Canis lupus familiaris: one gene and its partners. The protein of the gene in region 4 interacts with the protein of the main gene of each other region in a pairwise test. Links are inferred from orthologs where the notes say so. Each region holds a gene or a part of one and is shown on either strand. Other genes may lie near its edges.

Evidence for each region. The genes of interacting proteins can lie anywhere in the genome.
Region 1: the proteins of KAT5 (region 4) and PLA2G4A interact in a two-hybrid assay, tested with the Homo sapiens proteins (2 studies listed by BioGRID). The link is inferred for Canis lupus familiaris from reciprocal best matches to the Homo sapiens genes KAT5 and PLA2G4A.
Region 2: the proteins of KAT5 (region 4) and CEP70 interact in binary tests that used the Homo sapiens proteins (3 or more experiments, as listed by UniProt). The link is inferred for Canis lupus familiaris from reciprocal best matches to the Homo sapiens genes KAT5 and CEP70.
Region 3: the proteins of KAT5 (region 4) and ZC2HC1C interact in binary tests that used the Homo sapiens proteins (3 or more experiments, as listed by UniProt). The link is inferred for Canis lupus familiaris from reciprocal best matches to the Homo sapiens genes KAT5 and ZC2HC1C.
Region 5: the proteins of KAT5 (region 4) and HMBOX1 interact in binary tests that used the Homo sapiens proteins (3 or more experiments, as listed by UniProt). The two-hybrid records come from large-scale screens. The link is inferred for Canis lupus familiaris from reciprocal best matches to the Homo sapiens genes KAT5 and HMBOX1.

What each region holds. Positions count from the first base shown.
Region 1 is NC_049228.1:19,792,957-19,797,963, forward strand, and holds part of PLA2G4A (cytosolic phospholipase A2), read left to right. Parts: coding exon 1-89; intron 90-838; coding exon 839-953; intron 954-5,007. UniProt on the Homo sapiens protein: Has primarily calcium-dependent phospholipase and lysophospholipase activities, with a major role in membrane lipid remodeling and biosynthesis of lipid mediators of the inflammatory response.
Region 2 is NC_049244.1:35,247,271-35,252,277, forward strand, and holds part of CEP70 (centrosomal protein of 70 kDa), read right to left. Parts: intron 3,141-5,007; coding exon 2,970-3,140; intron 1-2,969.
Region 3 is NC_049229.1:48,493,406-48,497,834, forward strand, and holds the end of ZC2HC1C (zinc finger C2HC domain-containing protein 1C), read left to right. Parts: intron 1-2,310; coding exon 2,311-2,574; 3' UTR 2,575-2,857; downstream 2,858-4,429.
Region 4 is NC_049239.1:52,000,336-52,004,492, forward strand, and holds the end of KAT5 (histone acetyltransferase KAT5), read right to left. Parts: intron 4,106-4,157; coding exon 4,012-4,105; intron 3,237-4,011; exon of another isoform or gene 2,277-3,236; coding exon of another isoform or gene 2,166-2,276; intron 2,004-2,165; coding exon 1,844-2,003; intron 1,720-1,843; coding exon 1,638-1,719; intron 1,547-1,637; coding exon 1,412-1,546; 3' UTR 1,004-1,411; downstream 1-1,003. Other genes in the region: RNASEH2C (ribonuclease H2 subunit C), read left to right, coding at 103-290, 376-495, 2,166-2,276. UniProt on the Homo sapiens protein: Catalytic subunit of the NuA4 histone acetyltransferase complex, a multiprotein complex involved in transcriptional activation of select genes principally by acetylation of nucleosomal histones H2A and H4.
Region 5 is NC_049246.1:28,663,555-28,668,561, forward strand, and holds part of HMBOX1 (homeobox-containing protein 1), read right to left. Parts: intron 3,864-5,007; coding exon 3,726-3,863; 3' UTR 2,127-3,725; intron 1-2,126. UniProt on the Homo sapiens protein: Binds directly to 5'-TTAGGG-3' repeats in telomeric DNA. Associates with the telomerase complex at sites of active telomere processing and positively regulates telomere elongation.

The DNA.
Region 1 (5,007 bases), on a different chromosome or scaffold from region 4:
AGTCTCTATGGAAGAAGAAAAGCTCTGGACAACCTGTCACCTTTACCGATATCTTTGGGATGTTAATAGGAGAAACACTAATTCACAATGTAAGCTATGATTCAACCTGCAGTCCTTTTGATACAAATAGACTTTGTATATCATAATACTTTCATAAAACAAAATGATACATCTTATAAAAGTCACTTGACTCACCTGATCCTATCAACAATGTGTACTGAGTACATACTCCCTGCCAGACGTAACATTTCTACATTTCCAACTAGTTCTTACTCATTCTGTGTAATAGTTTTGATGTAGCGAGGTACTTTTGGGTTCTTTTTCTTTGGAAAAATACACATTTTAACCCTTAACTGCCCACCCCCACGCCCAATGGCAGTCTTTTTAAATAAGGAGATGAATACAAGTAATAATGGTAGAGGAAAAATAGAGGTTGCTGAAAAGAGAGTCAGAAAAGGGAGTGAGTCACAAGAAACAAGCCCATTTGACATATGACAACAGTGTGACACTTCAACTGAAGATAAAGTTGGGGGAGATAAAGTCTGTGCCAGAGAATCTGGGGTCCAGACTCTCTTCTTCATAGCTTCATAGCTGCCAAGTTGTTCTTCATTTCAAATGTAGACATAGCCTTTAAACTTGTGGTTGTTTTTAGAGTGAAGATAATTACCTCCCTAGAGCATACTTTTGTTGTATATTAGGACCCAGAGATTTCTAGAAAAAAATAAGACTTATTTTTATTATAAAAGTTTTAAGTGTCTTGATTGCAAGTACTATTTTAAGTAGCTTCCTATCTGTATCTGTTACTATATTTAAAACCATGTATTTCTTCTGTGGACAGAGAATGAACACTACTTTGAGTAGTCTGAAGGAAAAAGTCAGTTCTGGTCAGTGTCCTCTACCTCTCTTCACCTGTCTCCATGTCAAACCTGATGTTTCAGAGCTAATGTTTGCAGGTACGAAATCTCCTCTTTCAAAACGTTTCCTCGAACCTTTGAACTGTTGGTTTGTCATGATTGTCATTAGAGGAAGTTCATAAGCAATTTTAGTTGTCTGTTTTTGTATATTTTCTGTACCATAAAAACAGTCGAAGATACAAGAAAATATTAAGCTAAATGATTTTCTGATGGTAGAGAATATTCCATGAAATTAGGTACTAATATATCTTCATTTAAATTAGTGAAATAGAAATTATGAAAAAAAGTCCTGACTGTAATCTCAATTTTCATTACTCAGTTCTCAAGGACTTTTAACAAAATAGTGTGTCTCGTGCTTTTAGGCAATGCATATTCTTTTGCTTACTGCTTATATTTTCATTAAATTGGATAACATATGTGATTATCATTAAAAGCACTTTTATAATTTTTATAATACAGTACTTAAAAAGTACGACTCTATACTTGTGGCAGATGAGGAACAAAATGCCCCATTTTGTTAATTCTCAAATGTAAATATTTGTTTCTTCTACAGAAGCTTTGCCTCTTGCTGGGTGCTCTAAAACATGTAACATCATGCTTCTGGGGGCTTTGGCAGTCCTAGTCTGCAGTATGGAAGCATTTCTGACTACAGCTAGTAGGGTTCGTTGTAATTTTAGGAAAAGTACCTCAAGAAAACCAGTCACACCATAAGAAAAAAAAAGTCATTGTGAATGGCATGAAATTAACAGATTTATTTCCAGAAACATTTTGCAATTTTACAAAGTCTCACTTTATTCAACTGACTATTCTGAGGCAAGAATTTTGAATTATTTATAAAAAGCAGTGCACCCGCAATTCATTCATTCAAATGTTTACCAGTTACATTGACTAAAATATCCATTATGCTTATGGCTCAGAAATCACTTATCATATTTATTATCCTATTCAATTTTGCTACAACTCAGGAAGTGAGGTCTTTTCAGCTGTGCTTCATAGAAGAAAAAAACAAAACCTCAGAAAGATTAAATGATTTGTACATTGCCACACAGAAGTAAGTAGCAGAGCTGAGATTTGTTTTCAAAAATCCTTTGTGTTTTTTTTAACATTTTATTTATTTATTTATTTATTTATTTATTTATTTGACAGAGAGAGAGAGAGCCCGCACATGCGCACAAGCAGCGAGAGTAGCAAACAGAGGGAGAGGGAGCAGGGAACCCAATACTGGGCTCGATCCCAAGAACCAGGGATCATCACCTGAGCCAAAGGCAGGCACTTAACTGACTGAGCCACCCAGGCACCCTTCCTTTGTTCTTTTTATTAAAATATTAGCTTCTCTGGTTACTGACTATGTAAAATATAGTATGCCAGGTGCTAAGCATGAACCCCCCTCCCCCAGCACAGTATATTGCCTCTGTTCTATCAGACCTTATAATCTAGGAAATTTACCATAATTATTAAAGAATTTAAGGCACAAGGAAGAAGTTACTATGCATTATTCCTGTGACTAAGTTACATGACATCTGTTAGTCTGTTTCCACATCTGTTAAATAAGGATGAGACTGTCATAGTGTTTCTATAGATAAATGATATGAAGTATGCAAAGTACATAAAACACTGGCAGGCCCGAATTAAGGTTAAGTAAATCTTAAAAATTTAGTGCTCTATGAAATCTATATGAGAAATCAGAGGTCTGGATCTTAACTACAAATAGGTTTTCTATATAAAAGGCAAATTTAATTATTGGATGAGGATAAGGCGTAGATTAGGAGTCTAGGATAACCATGGCATGCTCAGCATTAATAAAGAGCAAGATCTTGATTGTAATGTTTTTAGAGAGAATTGAAATTTTTGCATGCAAGAAAAGTAAGTGCCATGAGGAAATTGACTTTGTTTTGTTTTTGCTTTCCTATAGCTATTGTTTTGTGAGGTCTTGGAATGTTTGCAGATAGGTTGATAAATCCTACTAGTATGCTTGTCAAATATGTGCATAGCCAAATAAGCCATTTTACCCCAAAAGCATTATGATATGGTCAAACAAGCCCTAGACTAATTTGAAAGTCTTGTTTTAAAGCTGAAATACCTTGGTAGGCCATTTAATCTCTCTGATTTTTATTTTCTTCATTATTTAAAAAAAAAAGATGGTATTAGTAAATATCAGATTTATCTAACAAAACTATTAAGACAATCACATGAAGTAGGCAGAAGATGACACATCATAAAGAGACAAAATATGATAGTGTCACTACTATCGTTAAGATTGTTAGGACATTTTCATAGTCACCTTTTTTTATTCTGAACTTTGAGGCCAGTAGCCTATTCTCAATGGAAAATCTGATCATAATCATTAAGGAAGAAGTAATTTTAGATTCCCCTAGAGTGGGAAAGGCTGTTTTATGTTCAGCTAGTAACCTTCTGACCTCGATGTGTCTGATTTGGGCCATCTGCCTAATTACGATATTGTTACTGAGATGAGAGATACACCATTAACCTTCATTGTGAAGCTTTTATGATAAGGAGGTTCAAAGCTCTGTCTTCCAACAGAGTTGGACAAAGCCATCAAGCATTAGTTATATGGATCTTGTACCCAGATAAGATATTCAAAGATGTTATGTTATGAAGGTTCAAGTAGCTTGGGTTATTGAGGGGAGGTGGGGGAAGAGCCATGTCTATACTTTATTCCTTTAAAGTTTGCTCAGATTAAAAATAGATATTCAGGGGGAAAATAGCTGCAATATTATCTGAATAATATTTTTAAATGTCAAAGAACCAAATTATCTTAGCTTACAAAAGTTTTATCAACTTTGTTTCACAATATCAGAGAATGTTTTTCTTCCCTTCAGAATAGTTTTAAACATTTTCTTCTTTTGAAGATTTTAAACAAATAAACATTAGATGTTTAAACTGTCAAATATTTTTGCCTCCTTCACTTACTACATTGCTTTCATTTTTACGTTTCCATTGGTCAGTAAATTGCATTTACTGAGCACAACTTAGAGAACTCCACATCATGTTAAATTCTTTGACAGACTATAAGAGTAGATATATAGTATTATATAGTATTGTATATATAGTATTCAGGAAAGTTATAATCCCATTAACAAGACAAAAATAAAACATGAAAAATGAATGAGCCATACACATAGCATATTACGATCTATTAAAGTGTGTAGAACCGACATGAGAGTAAGATATCATAGACATTTAGTCCAGTCATAAGGACTTCAGGTGGATAATGGAACTCAGATTTCCTTTGAACATACATGGGTCTATCAAGAGAGATGAATAGTTCTTGTTGTGTGAAATACCATGAGAAAATACTCAGAAGGGGAGCCCAAAGTATGTTTTTGAGAGCAGTAAAAAGAAATTGGCCTTATTATGAGTGGGTGAAGGTGGGTGGTGCATTTGGGAAAATTATTAGTGCCAAATTATAAAAAGATCTGAATTCCAGGGAGAAATCTTTTTATTCAGTTATAATGATAATGGGAAATATTTTGATGTTTGGGGGCAGGACAATAAATTTTTTAAGTAGTGTTTTGGGAGGAAAAAAGCACTTTGGTGATTCATATGGGTAGATTAGCAAGGAAAGAAGCTGGAAGCACCACTATCACTCTGCTTTTGTAAGTGAGTGAGTGATGTGATGTCAGTTTAAAAAATTCCTTTTTGGGGCTCTAATAGTGTACGGAAATAGGTAAGATAGACTGGGAGGAAGGATAAGGAGTTCCTTTCCAGATAAGCATAGTGGGATGTGATGACATTGTGTCTAAGCTTAAATGCGCAACAGGAAGTTGGAAATGAGTAGATGGAGGTACAGGAGAGAGATTCAAGTTTGAAATGTACGAGTCAACAGCAAAAGGAATAGTCACATACTCGTATGGTGAGTCCTTCAGTAAAGACTAGAGCGCAATCTCACCTTGAGAATGTCTGTAATTACTGTGTGCACGCACCATAGCATTAATAAGGAAGAGATTACTCGAGAAATTATTGTTTCAGTACCCAAGATAAGGGGATGAAATTCAGAGATGGGAAATTACTTGTAGTGATACAGAAATTTTCCTAGCAGCCTCTGATTCATTGCTAGTCATGTCTCAATACC
Region 2 (5,007 bases), on a different chromosome or scaffold from region 4:
TGGCAGATGCTTAACTGACTGAGCAACCTAGGCATCTCCTTTCATGGGCTGCTTTTATGGCATTCATTTCTTTTAATGATATCATGAATGTTAAATTTTATTTTGCATTTTTTAGAAAGTCTTGTCTCTCCAATTAGTCTGAATCTTGTGTTCATCTTTTTTTCTTTAAAGATTTGAGAGAGAGAGTGAGCATGAGCAGGGGGAGAAGCAGAGGGGGAAGGAGATAGACTCTGAAGCAGACTCTGTGCTGAGCACAGAGCCTGATGAGGGGCTCTATTCCACAACTGTGAGATCATGACCTGAGCCAAATCAGGAGTTGGACATTAACTGACTGAGCCACCCAGGCACCCAGTGTTCATCTTTTCTGACTACCTCCCCAATGCCTTGAACATAGTAAATCATCAGTAACTATCCATTTATGTGATTCTTCCTTTGTCTCCTTTCTCTTCTAGTCTTTTACCTTCTCTTGGAAAGGCTAGGGCATGTTCTAGCCCATCTTCCTTGCGAGGAATTAAAGTGGGGTTAGCACAGTGGAGCATCTGGTTGGCTCAGTCAGTTAGGTGCACTGGGAGCCCGATGTGGGATTCGATCCCGGGTCTCCAGGATCGCGCCCTGGGCCAAAGGCAGGCGCCAAACCGCTGCGCCACCCAGGGATCCCTTCAGGTCATGATCTTATGGGTCATAGGACAGAGCACCCCACATTGGGCTCCCTCCTCAGCAGGGATTGAGAGAATTGAGTGATAGTGTTGTCTTAATATACCTATCTTATAGGCCTGAGTCTCTCCAGTTTATATCTTAGTAAATGTTAATTTTGTAAACCATGGTTAATTATGTAATCCTGCTTGAGGATTCTCTTCTTCTGCCCCTCCCACAATTGGCTTATTTGCTCTCTCTCAAATAAATAAATCTTTTTTTAAAAAAATATCTTATTTATTTGAGAGAGTGAGAGAGACAGAGAGAGAGAGAGAGAGAGAGAGAGAGAGGAGTAGGGGGAGGGGGAGGGGCAGAGAGAGAAACAGACTCCCCGTTGAGCAGGGAGCCTGACATGGGCTCTATCCTAGGACTCCAGGATCATGGCCTGAGCCAAAGGCAGATACTTAACCAACTGAGTCATCCAGGAGCCCCAATAAATCTTTTTTTAAAAAGGTTTTATTTATTTATTCATAAGTGACACAGAGAGAGGCAGAGACATACACAGAGAAGCAGGCTCCTCACAGGGAGCCCGATGCAGAACTCAGTTTCTGCACCTGGGATCACGCCCTGAGCCAAAGGCAGACACTCAACCACTGAGCCACCCAGGTGTCCCCTCAATAAATCTTTTTTTAAGTGGGGTTAGCACTGTTTCCTATTACTGGGAGAACCCTCTGACAAGCAATGACTGGGTTTACATAATTAACCATATTTACATAATTAACATCTACTAAGATATAAACTGGAGAGACTCAGGCCTATAAGATAGGTATATTAAGACAACAACACTATCACTCAATTAAAATGTTTTCTATTTTATAGCTCTATCTGATCCCTATATAAAAAGGGAAAGAGAAATTAGCCTGAACACGAAGACTCTTTCATCAATTACCAGTATGTTTTCATTAATTTTTTTAAATTCAGTATCATCATCGTCATTTTGCTGTCTTGGAATTTGTTATTCTACTTCATTCTTTTGACAAATATTAAGCACACATTATGTATCAGGAGATTCCTTGGGATATATCCGAGAAAAAAAAGATAAAACTCATAGAACTTATACATTCTTACTCATATCTTCTGTATCATTTATACTTCATGCAACAAGGGTTCCGTTGACAAATACTGTTACTGAATCATGAACAGAGGTAGTGCTATATATATTATTGAAAAATCTAAAGATCAGGGATGCCTCAGCAGCTCAGTTAGTGTCTGACTCTTGATTTCAGCTCAGGTCATGATCTCAGGGTTGTGAGCCTGTTTAGGATTTTCTCTCTCTCTGCCCCTTCTGTCCCCACTCAAAAAAAAAAAAAAAAAAAAAAAAAAAAAAAAGAAAAGAAAGAAAGATCTAAAGATTGAAGAAGGGAATAGAAACTAAATATTAATGACTTTAGCAATTCACCTTTCAGTGAACTACTCAACAAAAACTGAAAAACCTGAAGATACATGATAAAGAATGCAAAATAACTCTAGAAAGCAAAGAAATGTTTATCTTCCATGGATAGACATGATAAGTAAAAGTAGTATTGGCTGTTATTGAACTACTAACTGTTCTATAAAACAGTTATGGAGATGTGGACAGTTTTGAGAGAAGGAAAATGATTTAAAATATGAAGAGGAAAAAATCCCCAATTAAAGTGGAATGAAGGATAAAACATTGTATCTCAAGAGGAGTAAAAGGCCAGGAAAATCTGCAGCATGGAAATACCAAAAAGAGTAAGATGAAGGTAGAACAGGAAAGGACCTAGAAGTGCAAAATAGATCCACTCCAGATTTTCAACATGGCAACAGGTCTAAAAGTCTTTAGCAAAACTTTACAGGAGGCAAAGCTTATAGTAATGACAACATCAAATAGGTAGTACTTAAAACCAATATGGTAAGTAACAAGTTTTAAATTCAAGTTTTAAATAAGGTAAGCTTGGGATCCCTGGGTGGCGCAGCGGTTTGGCGCCTGCCTTTGGCCCAGGGTGCGATCCTGGAGACCCGGGATCGAATCCCACGTCGGGCTCCCGGTGCATGGGGCCTGCTTCTCCCTCTGCCTATGTCTCTGCCTCTCTCTCTCTCTCTCTCTCTCTGTGACTATCATAAATAAAAAAATAAATAAATTTAAAAAAATAAATAAGGTAAGCTTTACAGCTAAAACAAACAAACACACAAAAAAAATGAAGCCTAGTCCTTTAATAAAGCCCAGAGGAAAAAAACAAAAACAAAAACAAAAACAAAAAGCGCAGAGAATCCAAGAGATTTTCAAAGCATGTAAAAAATATTCAACCCCTTACCTTTAGAGAAGTCAGTTGATCTGCCCACATTTCTACTATAGGAATAAGATGCTCAAATCCACAATCTCGAACAAAATCTTTATTAAAATGTTGGGTTCCTCCTTTGCTCTGTTTATAAATTATTACTGGAGCTCTTGGATTATGAACAATTGAATTGATGCTACTCAGAACCTTAAAAAAAAAAAAAAAAGACCATGCTTTTAGTTGAAATGTTTATCACAGTCCTATCCAAAATGATTTAGGTTAAAGGAGTGCTTTCTATGTCAATATATCATCATTTTCAGAATTATTTTTAGGCATTAAGAAGTTCTTTAACAGGAATGACACATGTAATGTTTTGGAAGTATAGCAGTTTCATCAACATAATTAAACATATAAGTTCTAATCAGAACCACAGTCTTCACAGAAAAGCTAAATGCATTTTCAAATGATTTAGACTTTAAAGTAAGTTATGAATGCCCTATTATAATCTACACAGGGAAAAAGAATCATCAATACATTCTTAGCTAGAATCTCACATTTCTCTAATTCTATCTCCTTATATTTAAGTTAAATCAGATGTTTAAAGGGAGCATATCCTGTTGTTTCGTAACCTCAGTTAAAGTTCAAAGTGAGGACAATGAATACTAAAGTCCAACACATTCTATAGAGAAATCCTGTAAACATCATGCCAATTTTGGAAACCCCAAACCCAATGCAGAGAACTAATCCTTAAAATGCTGTTCCTCTACAACCATTCTCAGTACCAAAATCTGTATTATCAAGGTTCTACAGAGAAACAGAAACAATGTATATGTATATATCTAAAATGATTTATTATAAGGAATTGGCTCACATAATTATGGAAGCTGGTAAGTCCCAATTTCTGCATTAGGCGAGCTGGAGATCCAAGAGAGCCAATGGAGTAGTTCTAGTCTGAATGCTCACAGGCCTGAGACCCAGGAAGAGACAGTTCAAGTTTGAAGGCAGGAAAAAAACTGATGTCCCAGCTCAAAGGTAGTCACGCAAGGGGAACTCCCTTTTATTCAGCCTTTTTGTTTTAGTCAGGCCTTCAAATGACTGAATGAGACTCATTCACATTAGGGAAGGCAATCTGCTTTACCCAGTCTGCAAAATCAAATGTTAATCTCAATCCATAAACATCCTCACAGACATATTCAGAATAAAATTGACCAAATATCTGGGAAACCTATGGTCCAGTCAAGTTGATACATAAAATGAACCATCATAAATACCCACATAATCACTACCTAGATTCAACAATTGTTAACACTATCTTATATTTGCTCACTTAGCTGAACCTCCTAAAGAAAATACAGACATGATAAAACTTTACCCTCAAATACTTAAGGGTAAGTATGTTTCTCTTAGAAGTAGGCACATTCTCCTGTTTAAATCCTAAAACCATTATCATACAGAAGAAATTTAACATGGGACACCTGGGTGGCTCAGCAGTTGAGCGTCTGCCTTTTGGTTCAGGGTGTGATCCCAGAGTCTGGGGATTGAGTCCCACATCAGGCTCCCTAAGGGGAGCCTGCTTCTCCCTCTGCCTATGTCTCTGCCTCTCTCTCTCTGTGTCTCTCATGAATAAATAAAATCTTAAAAAAAAAAAAAGAAATTTAACAGTAATTCCCTAACATCATTAATGCCTGAGTGAATTTTAAATATCTTAATATGTGACTATAGCACTCTGCCAAAAGGTATGAGTTCTACCTTACATATCATCCAAGGAAAGGAAGGGAAGACCCAAAACAGCAAGTTTAAAACAAAGAAGAGGGCAGCCCTGGTGGCTCAGTGGTTTAGCACAACCTTCGGCCCGGAGTGTGATCCTGGAGACCCGGGATCAAGTCCCACGTCAGGCTCCCTGCATGGAGCCTGCTTCTCCCTCTGCCTGTGTCTCTGCCTCTCTCTTTCTCTCTGTGTCTGTCATGAATAAAAAAATAAAATCTTTAAAAAATAAAAATAAATAAAAAATAAATAAAACAAAGAAGAGTAAAGCCATTTTCTTATTTACCACCATCAAGCCCAGAGCATATAA
Region 3 (4,429 bases), on a different chromosome or scaffold from region 4:
CCCTAAATGATTCATCTGATGTCAGATACCTAGTAGTGTTTTTATAAGTGCACTAATACTTAATCCATCAGTTTGATTTTTTTTTTTTTTTAATTCTGGAAACTTTCCTCCCACTACTCTTTTTCCTCCTGCACCAGTCTGGACTGTTTATTCTCTAGGTCTAGTGTAGACTTGTTGTGTTGGGACTTCTTTTTTTTACTTCTTTTCTGTATCGGGTCCTATTTCCAGCTTCTTATGTTTTCCTTTTTCTTGCTTTATTCCTTGATTTGCTGAAGCTTTCAAGAAACGTGCATGGGAGGCATATTTTTTGTCTCAAAATGAATGAAAATATCCATACAACAACCTTATAGTTGATTTGACTAGGTATAGAATTCTAGGTAGATAATGATTTTCAGGGGATCCCTGGGTAGCTCAGAGGTTTAGCGCCTGCCTTCGGCCCAGGGTGTGATCCTGGAGTCCCAGGATGGAGTCCCAGGATCCAGTCCTACGATCAAGTCCCGCATCGGGCTCCCTTCATGGAGCCTGCTTCTCCCTCTATCTGTGTCTCTGCCTCTCTCTCATGAATAAATAAATAAAATCTTTTTAAAAAGAAAAAATGATTTTCTATTAGAACTTTTTTTTTTTTTTAAGATTTTATTTATTTATTCATGAGAGACAGAGAGACAGAGAGAGAGGTAGAGACACAGGCAGAGGGAGAAGCAGGCTCCATGCAGGGAGCCTGATGTGGGACTCAATCCCAGGGCTCCAGGATCACACCCTGGACTGAAGGCGGCGCTAAACTGCTGAGCCACCTGGGCCGCCCTCTGTTAGAATTTTTAAGGCATTTTCCCACTAGCTTTTAGCATCGTGTTACCGTTGAGAAATCTGATGCCATTTTGCTTCCTGCGCCACTATATGAAGCTTCTCTTGGTGTTTCTTTTTCTGAAAGCTTACAGGATTCACTCTTTATTCTGAAATTCCAAAATTTTTCAATGATTGTGTTGGAATCTTGGTAGGCTATTCAATTTCAAGACAGTGACCTTAATTCTAGGAATGTTTATTGTATTATTTATTTAATAATTTCCTCCTTTGCTTTTTCTGTTCTTTTTGGAACTCCTTTTTGTCAGGTGCTGGACTTCCTGGATTGACTTTCTAATTTCCTAATCTTTTCTACTTCCCATCTTGATCTTTTTTTCCCATTCTAATTTTCTTGACATTTTAAACACTGCTATTTTTATTTTTAGCTATGTTTTTTTTTAAGTGGTCTTTTTAAAAATAAAGATATTTATTTGTTCATTTATTTATGAGACAGAGTATAAGCACATAATCAGGAGAAGCAGAAGGAGAGGAACAAGTTGACTGTGCTGAGCGTGGAGCCTGATGTGAGGCTCAATCCCATGACCCCAAGATCATGACCTGAGTCAAATTCAAGAGTCAGATGCTCAACCAACTGAGCCACCTAGGCGCCCCTTAGTTATCACAGTTTTAATTTATAATAGTTCTTTCTGGCTTTCTGGTTTTAAGTTTTCTTCTACTTGCCTTGTTGCTGCTTCCTGAGAGTGAGTGAGAGAGAGAGAGAGAGAGAGAGAGAGAGAGAGAAAGAGAATTCATGTACCTGTTTTGGTTTTTTTCTTGTTAGAGCTTTACTCAAATATTTGGTGACCCCAGGCTGTCCATTCATAGTTAAGCTTAAGTGAGGCTTGTTGATTAAAGGCCTCAAATAGTGAACCTTTTCACTGGGGTCATGCAGGGCCAGCATCTAATGGCTTTTCTCTTGACTGCTTGGTGCAACCAGAGAACTCTTGTCTCCTGTGAGGGTGCCAATGTGTTTGATATCCTGGGAGCTGAGTTGATTCCTCGGCTCCCAGGATATCAAACAGTTCCATAATTTATCATGTATACTTGCACTTAATCCCAATTTTCAGCTTCAGTATTAACCTTGTTCTCTATTATGTCTGGACTTCCTGCGTGTGAAACCTGTCTGGTTCAGTTTCTACAGAGAATAGACCTCTGTTCTCCTGTGAGACTGCTGGAAGTGACAGACTCTTGGATGTGCAAGATGGGACGGGGCCCCAGGGATCCAATTTATTCTCAGCCCCACACCTCTCCCCTGCCTCTACCTGTAAACACCAAGCCTCCCAGTACCATCCCCCCTGGCAGGCCCTTAGCTTAGTGCCTCCACTCTGGCAAGTCAGCTCTGTTGCTCCTGTCCTGTTCTCTCTGACCTTAGGGAGAGCATCCTTTACATTTCCTTACTGTCATTCTGATGAAGACTCAGAAGGAGATGTGGTAAATGCCAAGTCAAATAATCAGTCTTCCTCCTACTTACAGGCTGAACCTCCTCAGAAGAGCAACTGGAGACAGAAGCATGAGTCTTTCATCCGTACTCTCCGTCAGGCCCGAGAGGTCCAGCAGGTAATTGCCAAAGGTGGAAACCCCTCAGACTTGCCACCCATTCTACCTGCAGAAAATCCAGATTATATTCAGTGTCCACACTGCAGCCGCCACTTTGCTCCCAAGGTGGCTGAGCGCCACATTCCCAAGTGTAAGACCATTAAGAATCGGCCCCCACCTCCAAGGAAGCATTACAGTTGAACAGACAACAGTGGAAGTCTCAGAAGGCTCTGCTTCTCTTCAGCAGTAAATGGGAGAATAATTTGATACAAACCAGAACTAAAACCTTTACATCTCCCACATCTGCCTGCAGAACTTAAATCAGTGAAGAGACTCATTGCTAAGCAGCAGGAAGCAAAAGGAAGCTTCGGCTTCCCACTAAATTACCATGTTGGGCTGGTGTGCCTTTCTATTGCCCTCAGAACTGGTGGGTGAAGACACTTGAGAGTAGCAAGTGGGCTATATTAAATCTCTCTTCTCGCAAGCCTGACTTGTGGTCTGTGCTAGTTAAGTGCCTGCATTTGCTGTGCCTTCTTGCCATTGCCTCTGCATGTATGTTTGTGGTTCCTGTTCATGCTTCTTGCTCTTGCAGGAAGTTGGTTCATTAGATTAAGTTGGTGTCAGAAGATCATGATCACCTAGGTGGTATCTCTTATAAAAGATAATACAATTTTGCTGTAAGGCAAATGGAAGTTTATGCTTGACCTTTGTGACGCATGGTCCTGGCCAAAAGCCAACACCAGTATGCAAAGTTCGGGTGCCAGTCTATCCTAAGCGCCGCTTGTGGTATACTGTGTCATAAAGAGAACCTCATCTTGATGTGCTTTACAGGCTAGGGATGGGGAGAGCACTACTGTATGCCTCAGTAGTTGCTCTTTGCTAATGGATTTCATATGTCAAAAAAAAAGGAAGGAACTTCAGTTTTAGCGATTGCTGGCATTCTGCTTTGAAATCAGATTGGTTGTATGGCTTTTGAAATAAGGCAGCAAAATCTACCATCAAAGCAAGCTGGGACATTGCAGTCTCACATGTCGCTGTCCATTATATCACAGTGAACTTCTATTTTAGAGAGTAAACTTTGATGAAAAATGAAAAAAGATACTGGATTTTTAAAATTTTCTCTGTGCAGAATTGTGCATACTGCAGGTACTCTTCATAATTAGACCTTCAAAAAGGGTTTTGGGGATTTAAAATTAAATAATAAAATGAGTAAGTCCTAGTTTGGTCAGATGGGAGAAGTGATAAGGTAATGCCCGTCAGGGGTAGTATCAGTTTAAATAGGATGAAGATAGAACAACAGATATGAAATAACAGTAGGATTATTGTCCTGAGAACATCACTCAAATTGTTAGTTTAAAATACTGGAGAAAAAAACACCCAACTTGACCTGGGCCAAGGTGACTAAGCAGACAAAAAAACCCATATTCTACTAACAAATGGCCACTCATGTTCCATTTCCTCTGCAGCACCTGCTGAATGGCTGGGCTAATAGACCAGACCGACTTGAAATGTGATTAAGGCTTTAGCTGCGAAGCTGCAGGACCCTAGGTGGAGAAAAATGTATCTACTTAAAAAACAGTACATATTGAATTGCTTTATGCTCTTCTTAATTGTTGCAAAGAAGAGGAATCACATAGCAGGGCTTTAGGCTGGCCACTTGAAGGAACCTTACACACACACTGGGTATTTAACCCAATACATACATTCCCCTGGCAATGAAATACAAACTAAGTTTCATACTTAAAAACAAAAGATGATAAGAATGAGCTATGGCCAAGGGGGCAAAGTGGTAGCCTATGGACTGCTTTGTCCTACAGATATGCTTTATTTGGCTGGTGCAGAATTAAAAATATAGTCTGACATTTAAAAACTGGGATATGGAGAATCTCTTGAAAAGCCAGAAGTTCTGGAAATACCAGGCCAGCAATCCTGCATAGCCCCAACCACGTGGTCCTTCAGATGGTCTGACCTTGCAGATCACAAGTCCCGCCTGGCATGCTGCACTTATTTGCCTTTTCTGCCCAGCCCCACAGGCGCTTGAGTTTGGGATCCCTGG
Region 4 (4,157 bases):
TGGGGATCGTGGTCCAACGGAGGTGGCGGGAGGGCCCCGGGGGGCTTGCCCCGCAAGCCCTGAATCAAGCCCGTACCGAGGTCCCGAGCCTGCCTTCTGCAGGACTCGAAGTGTCGTTTCGGGGCCGCAAACTACGAGGCGAGGAGGTGGTGGTGCCTCCTGGCCTCGTGGGATACGTGATGGCGATGGAGGAGCAGGGAGAGGTGTCGATGGAGAAGGACTTCTCGGAGGGTGACGAGCGAGAGGAGCAGGAGCGGGCAGAACCCCGCGAGGCGCTGGAGCGGGACTTCGTGAGCACGGGGGTGGAGGGGCAGGGCTGGAGAGTGGTGCGGGCGGCAGCGGTGGCCCTCATGCTGAGCCGGGCCCCTTCCTCAGGACCAGTTTATCGGAGCCATCGCCAGTTTCAGCCGCTTCACGCTATGGGGTCTGGAGACCATTCCTGGTCCGGACGCCAAAGTGCGCGGGGCCCTAACCTGGCCCAGTCTGGCCGCAGCGGTGAGTAGGGGGATGGGACCTCACTCTTCAGGCCCCATCCATTCCCTTGTGCCTTCAAGGGTATTCCCTGGACTGTCCAGAATCTTGTCCGAGTGGACTTGGGGCTTCAGGGCCGGGGAGTACAATGGGGTACAAGGAGCCTGGGTCTGACTGGATTAGACTGGTCAGGGGCAGGGGCGCTTCCCTACCTCTGACTGGTCTAGAAGGGGTTGTCATTCTGAGTAGCTGGGTCACTCCCAGAGTATGTGGGCCACCCAGTGTGTGTCAAAAACCCAATAGTAGAGGTGACTCCTGTTGCAGATTCACGCACAGGTGCCTGAAGACTGAGAGCCGGAACTTGAAATTGAAAGCCACTGGTTCCTTCACCCCAATAAACCAGCTCTTCATTTTGGAACCACTGATTCCATCACCCCAATAAACAAGCTCTTCACAGCACCTGCGAGTTTGTGGGCACCTTGGAGTCTTCTAAGCTGGCACTACCCCTTCTCCCACAAGAAACTTTCATGGCTCAGTCTATAGAAATGATTTATTGCCAAGGAGCAGTGAGGGCAAGAGGCCAGAATTTTGCTGCCAGTACCCACCCCTCCTCCCAACTCCTTACAAAAGAAATTTTTACAGCCACTAGCCCTCTGTACAGAGTGCACCCACCCCCCATCTCACTGTACATAGCTGCTTGGCTCCGTCCAGTCCCTGCTTCATAGCAGGCCCAGACCTGCAGCCAGTTGACCTTGGAGTTGACCTGAGCCCTGAGCTCGCCTTGGTGCTGGGCAGCTAGCCCCTACCAGGCCTGTCCTCTCCTTATGAAGCTGTCCTCAGCCCCACCTCCCTTGGTGTGCCTCTTGGGGGCCCTGGTGGGGGTGGGATGTGCTGTCAGCCCCAGTTCTGCTTTGTTGCCACTGCTATAGACAGTGCCTGGTCACCATTTTCCCCTCTTGCTCCAGTCCTTGGGAGTGAAGTGCAAACACTTGGAGTCGATTCGAAGGAGCCGCTTGAGCATAGCTCTTTCATGCCCATCCACGATGTCCTCAGACAGTGTGAGGATATACTGGCCCTGGATGGGAGATAGGACCGGAAGGGTCAGCCCATGTGGGGTGCACACTCTGCAGCCCTACACACACGTCTCCCCCTGCCTGCCTCCCTACCTTGTAGTAGTTGATGAGATTGAGGTACTGTAGAGTAGAAATGACATCTTCCTTCTTGATGCTGGTGATTTCACTGATCTCGCTGTGGGAGGACAAGGATCAGGTCCTCTGGAGGCCTTCCTCTCTGCCCCAAGCCCCCAGGAGCCCCAGGAATGAGGATGGGCCATGCCATGCACCCCCAGGGTCAGAGGTAGGGCCAGGCTCACTTGATGGTGATCTGTGGCCTCTCCCCGCTCTCTGACTTCAGCCCCATCAGGATCTCCAGGATGGTCTGGGACCAGTAGCTTCGGTAGGATAGGAGGCCAAGGTCTGAGAGGGGCTTCTCAGGGGTCCCCGTTTTCCCTTCCACTTTGGAGAGTTCATAGCCTACAGCAAGGCAGCAAGAAGGGGTGGGTAAGCGATCACACCTTCATGCAACTTTCAGAATATGGTTACAGGAGTAAACTGCCTGGTTCCCATCTCACCCTTGCCATGTGGTAGTTCTGTGACCTGACATACGTAGCTAGTCTGCTGTGTCTGTTTCCCCAGAGAGCTAATGAGCATTCACTCTTCATCTCTGTGCTGTGGAGGGTACTGAAAGGAACAGCTATAATCCACCTGGAGAAAAACTCAGGAACCAGGGAAGTGCAGAGAAAATGACAAGAAAGGCAAGTGCCTGATTTTCATCATTCCAGACCATATCTCCTGGGTATGTGAGAAGGGAAGGCAGCCCCCACGTGTGGTCTGGGCCTCAGGATGTCTGGATTTGCAGTCAAGTCAGTCCCCCTAGCTGTGACCTGGGGAGCATTGGCTGCTCCAGGACCAGGCTGGCCTGACTAGGTGTTGATAAGAAGCAAGGAGAGGCACTAATGTACTTCCCAGGTCAGAAGGCGGCCATTCCACAGCAGGTAACTCACCTCTCCAGAGGCACTCTCCGACTGCTCTGTCCTCCTCTACCCTGCTGATTACTGGGCACTAGCAGGCAGTTCCTAGGGAGCCCCTCAGGCTGTGCAAAATCCTATATGGCTTCGTGTCTCTTGGCAGAGTCTTCATTCTCTCCCTCAGGGTCCTGGGGTGTCCTTCATTACCTCTATAAGCCCTTCTTCACCCTCAGTCACAGCTATGTAGGCTCACAGCCCTTTTTGCCTACCCCTCCCAATCTTTATCAGCTAGTCTTGCCCAATCTTCTGTGACTTCCACCAAGCAGCCTGCTGGGGAGAGGGACAGAAAAGCTCCTGCTTTAGAGAAAGGAAGCCTGGAAGAGGAAGGGAGCACACCTGGGTCCCTACTTGACTTTGCTGGGCCTGCCAGTGCATGTGGGATCCTGCCACATCAGCCTCCCCAGCTGCAAGGAGCTCCTGGCCCCTCCCCAGTGAACATCCACCTGCCCTCAAGAACTGCCCGGAATGGGCACTCCCAGTGCACCTGTCTGCTCCTGCTGGGCAGAAGTGAGCACATCACATTGGTGTCCTTGCCCACATCCTATCTCCATGGAGGTCTGAGCTTCAAGGCTTGGATTCATTTTAAGTATCCGCCCACATATCAGGCTGAGGGCTTCCTGAGAATGTGACCCCATCTTGGCATCATTCTATTAATAAAATAACTCAAATGGATCATGACCTTATCAAGTCAAGCCACTGTGACTTCACCAAACAGCTAAGGCTCCCTCCTGTCTCTCAGGTCAGAACTTAACTATCCCAAGGGTTCAGTGAGTGGTGAGTTGAGTGGAGTGATGTAAGATGCTGGGAAGCAAAAGGGGGCCTTGCGGGTGGGGGACATAGAAGAGTTCACGGATGATGAGGGGCAGAGTCCCTTGTGGGCTTTAAGAGACTGACCTGCCTGAATCCAAGGAGCAGAGACCAAATCCACACAAATCAGTGCTTCCTTATTTTTGCTGAGTTAACATCACTTTAGCATTTTGAGCATCCACTATCTGCAAGGCTCAGGTTACAGCTGGGATAATGAAGCACTGGTCCTCACTCAGGAATTTGTATGGTGGCATATGAAGCACTGGTCCTCACTTAGGAATTTCTATGGTGGCACAGAACCAGGCAGATGAGCAACAGTGGCTCACCTGGTTTCTGCTGATGGCTCCCTGGATGGGAGCATATGAGTCAGATTTGTGAAAAGTTGGGTGGTGCTTAGAACCTCACCCAAGGAAGAGTGAGGAGCTGAAAACCTAGCCCAGACAAGCAGGGTAGTTGCCCTGAGAATGGAGAAAGCCTTGGGAGAGTCCCACCTTTATTTCTGGCCAGCTACCCTGGTGACAGCAGGGTTAACAATCATAGCAACCTAGCTTGTCTACAAGGGAGGCACAATGGCAGCACTGGCACTGAGCCTGGGCCCGCATGTACCCACCCCGGGGCCCCTGGCCGGGAGCAAAGGTACTACTCACTGAACTCGATCAGCAGCTTGCCGTAGCCCCGGCGCTGGTAGGGAGGCAGGGTCAGGATGCAGGCCACATTGTAGTCTTCTGTGGATTCCTTTTCCTGGAAAGGGGAGGAAGGTGAGTGAGGAGGGGACACAGCTCAGGGCAGGGCC
Region 5 (5,007 bases), on a different chromosome or scaffold from region 4:
TACCTTAAAGGGATCTTCCTGTTCCAGGAATTTTCTTCCTGTTAAGGAATAACAGGAGGATGTGGTGGCAGGGGTGGGGGGTGTCTGTCCCACCCGAGGCCAATGTATGGGAACTAGACAGATTCCATAGGTAGGTGGAAGGTGACCACACTGACCAACCACTTAAAGGATTCAGACTGTGAAGAAAATTGCCCTAAGGGGTACTCAACAATTACAAGCTTTGCTGAAATAAACCTGAAATAAACCAAAATGTCTATTTGGTACTGACTGGCACCAGAAGGTCTCAGCTAAGAGTGTACCCTACTGCCCTCCTTGGCCTTCAATCTATGTTAGAGTTATCAAAAGCAAGGTAGAAATCTCACTTGGATGGTCCATCTTTCGAAGGTCCCTTTGTAAGGCTGTGTTGTAAGAAGAGTAGGAAGTTTACCCACGTGACTACAGTAATTCAATGAAAGTGACCTTGAAAAATAACAGACAAGTTACAAGAACTGCTGACCAGGTTCCCCATCCCCCCTTTCAGTCTTCCTTACTATGGAAGAGCAGTCCTGAAAGTCCTCTGGGGCCTGAGGGAGGTACATTATGGGGCCAGAGAAGAGGGACACAACAACCAAAAAGCACACAACAGGATTTTTTCAGAGCCCTGGCTCTTTTCCCTTCAGTAAGAGAGCAGTTTAGGGTTCCTATTTAAATACCACCAAACCTGAAAAAGCTTAAGAAAACAAATTCACTATCCAAAGACATCACAACTTAGACAGTGGCAACTGTATACACCATTATAAGAACTAAGGTAACCTGGACAAGACAGCTGAATTCAACCTGGTGGCAAAAAAAACCCCAAAACCAAAAAACCCCAAAAAACAAATCAACAATGGTAGATTTAAATCTAGGCCCCAAAGAACTATATCTTTGCTCTTGGTGAAAAAGCAAAAGTTATATGTAAGGCAGTGGGTCTTAAGAGCAGGCCAGCAGTCTTCTTCAATTAAAAGAAGATTTCTGGATGAAAGATTCCTTCTTCCTGTTCCTACTGAACCCAATATGAAGCTATCTTGCATCAGTAGACATGTTCTTTCACTTTTTTTTCCAGGTTGCCAGATAGGGCCCTGTACTGCTTTCATGGATACCGACTCTCCTTTATTCTCTGAAGCTTTTCCCCATCCCTAAGGCCTTAAAACAATGAAACCTTTTAGCTCTTCTCTGGCAATCACTGTATTTCTTTAGAAACTGCAGCTGTCCTAACAGTTTGAGTCTGTTTCTTTAAAAAGACCAGCAAGAACAAATGATACTGACAATCCCATCATAAAGAAGCTATCAATTATAATAATCTCCTTACAATAAATCATGGATGTGGCTTGTCAGACAGTATAGTTTTCTCACTTCTTTGAGTCAACTGAGAATAAGCAGACAAAATTCCACCGAAATGGAAAGATACAACATGTTATATTTCTTCTACGTAATATAAAAGGAAAGAAAGATAACATAATCTCCTAATTGAAATAAAAAGTCCAACACACTAAGAAAGAAAATGAGCAGGGGGATCATTCCTGAGAATAACAAATGCTACTCTTGAATTGGTTGGTTCAAGTAATACAGTAAAACAGAAAAGACTACCCCATTTTACTTCAGTTCTTGGAAGCTGGAAGAAGCACATACACTTTCTGCCTGAAATCCACAGACAAAAGCAGGCCCAGTCCCTGCCTACAGCTCTTTAAAGTCACAGCCCCATATAAGGTGGCATCTTCGTGCCCTCTTGAAGGCTTCCGCGCACTGGCCTAAGGAGGATAAACAGATACAGAGAAGCCCTTGTCAGCACGTGCCTTACATGGAGTCAGACCAGCTAAAAACTGGTGGGTATTTAATTTAATATCTCACTAATGAGGAAGGGCAAAACAAAGGTCAGTCAGTTTCTCTCCCTCAATGGTTTTAGGCTGAATACATTTGGTGGGGGAGGAGGGGTGAAGAGGTAAGGAAATGGCACCTTCTTTCCATCTTAGAAATCGTTCTCAGGTAATGGATGACAGGACAGAAGCCCTGTTGAATAGCCAGCCCCGCAAGGCTTCACCATGCGTAGGAAGGAGAGATGGAACGAAGCAGAAAGTATACAGCAGTCATGCCTCCTTCAGACGCACCCTACGCCGCTACATCGAAGGCGGTTTCCTCTTCCCCACAGTGACAGTGTGTCATTTAATCGGGATGCCAAGAGATCATTTTCATACAAGGCCAGCAGATGTAATTTTCTTTGATGCATGAATAGTTCATCATTTTGCTACTAGATGACAAGGTGATCACAGGGTGACTTTATAACGCAAGTTCACTGTTTGGTATTTTGAGTTCTCAAAATGAAAAAAAGATTTATCAAATATAAATATCTTTAAAAAGTAACAAAAGTGCTACATATGTGATCAAGGAAAAAAATTCCATTAGTTACTGCCGCTTAAAGTAGATTAAACTTTACAAATATTACCACATCCATTATCAATATGGCTTCCAATTATTAAATAAATTGCCTGTAGCAATATAGCTTTTCACACCTCTACAAGGACAGAGTAAAGAGAACACCAAAGCAGTCACATCACGTTGTATCTTGAAGACCCGCCACGTAAGTGGCAATTGTCCCCTGTTTTTTCTGCTCCTATTTAGGAAAGTATTTGCATTTGTGATAGTCAGTCAGCATAATCCCACTATAAAGTCCTCTATCAACCTCTCATATTGAGGGGGCTTCAGTAAATGGATACAAAGACTGGAAGTTCATTCAGTCATTTGTGACCTTAGCTCCATCCTTGACTTTTTTTGGTAGCAGGGAAAGGGGACATAAACAGGAGGCAGAGCAGCTTCCATGATGGCCTCCAGCACTTTTCCAGGCAGGCACACACCTGTGCCATGTAATGTACAGTGGTTCTGAGAACTGGACTTAACATCCATTAGACATTCAGCTCATGTTTTTTTCCAATGCTCTCAAGCTGGGTTTTTTTTTTTTTTTTAATGACTTTTGTTTTTTGTCTTTTTTTTGTTTGAATCATGGTCCCAAAGGCAGAAGGCAGTATTTTATCTACTAAGTCACACAGCTTGTGAGAGGAAAGGATGTCTGTGTCAGGCATGTTAACATCAACCAAAATTTGAGATCAAGTTTTTCCATGGACATTCTTAGCACAGCACCCAAAGAAGTATAATCTAGCCACAGTGTGACTATTATGAGGCACGGCTTATTGCAGCTGGAAATCAATTATTCCCACCCTGAGTGGGAATTCTAGTGTTCCTTTTACTCTGTGGACACTCCCCAAATGGTGTCTGTCAATCCTGGGCCACACTACCTCAGCTTGCATCCTATCAGTCTTGGGGAAGGAAAAAGGTACAGACTAGTGTTACAGGAATCTAAAGGTACCCAAGGTTTTACACGTAGCCTAATATTGGAGAACTGAGGGCTATCTAAATACCTGGAAGCACTTTCTTGGAATGCTAAGACAGAGCAGCAAGATTTTCTAGCCTCGGGGGCTGGGAGAGGGAAGTTTGGTTGGTTGGTTGGTTATTATTTACTGGGAATTAATACTGAGAGAGTATATGCAAAGGCTGAGGGCACCATGCCATCTTCACAGAACAAGACCCTAACGGCTAACTGACATACAAGAAACTGCAAGTTATACTGTAAGAACACATGTTAAGGACCGAGGAAAGTCTGCTAAGGTGCTACGTCTAAACTAAGTTAACTTCTCCTGTTCAACCCTCCCTGCTCAGTCGTCATCCAGGGCCTCTGTCTTGATTTCGTTGGCTCCTTGTCGGGCCAATGCCAAGATAGTGTGGTTGACTGCTGCCATTTCCACAGCTAATGAGATGGGGTCTTGGTGGTCACTATGGCTAGTGCTGTCATCCTAGATGTGCAGAAATAAGAAACAAATGTTATTAGTGGATTGGTAAAATTCTCCAACTCACAGAGAGGCATGCTGAAGGCAAGGGGGGCAGAACATTCGTGGGAGGAAACAGTGGGGGAGGGGCTCATGACATAATAGAGGTGAAATGTATTTAAGTAGCCACTGAATGGAAATAGGTCCAGATTTCCAACTGACATTTTTATGATTCAACAAATAAGAAGTACCAAAATGTTTTTTCTGAGAATTTTATTCCTTCTATCCGAAGGGCTGCTGGTGATGATAATCAAACCTGATCATTCTAGGTTTGCAATGAACATAGCACTAGTCATTGAAGGCCGAATTAGTGAGCTATTAAATTCTGGATTGGTACTCTTACAAAGAGATTACCAGACCTCATGGCATCTCTTTACTGAGCTGAAAAAATTAGACTAAACTACAAACACCAATATCTAATGGGTAAAAATGCATTTTTATAAAAGAACAAACCCAAAAAACTCTCAATTACAACAGGACAAAAGTATAAGAGCCAGAAATGGCTCTGGGAGAAAATGTGTGGTGCTCTCCTGCTGTAAGGCTGCTGTGCCAGGGAAGTGGCAGGTGTCGTATTTTAGCGAGAGTGTGAAGTGCTCCTTCCGTGCACAGCTCAATGTGTTAAACAATAAAGCTGTGAAGGAAACTGGCATTGCAGGATGTTTGTCAGGCACTGAAGATGGTGTTACAAATGAGGGGTAAGTTTCTCACCTGTCACATCTTCAGGGGAACTCTGCATTAAAAAGCTTTGGAAAGGGTAAGCCCCTTTAGAAAAAAAATCATGGGATGTGCTACCCTTAGGGCATCTGGAAAACACAGTGGAAATGATCCACCTACACTGGTAGACTGAAAAATAACAGGAATGTTTCTGATGAGAAGGACAGAGTATTTTCTTGAGTAAAATGTGGAGCTATGATTTGGAATCCTACCAAGAGAAAAGGTAATTCCCAGGGGAATTATGGACATCATTGTTGCATTCCCATTTTCACAGACAGGTCTTCGGGGTTTAAAAAGGGCTCAGCATGGGGTTGTGTGCACTCTTGTGGCATTTGCAATCAAGTTGGTAAGCAGAGATTGTAAAATGGCTGGCAGAAGGAAGAACACAGTGGACTAC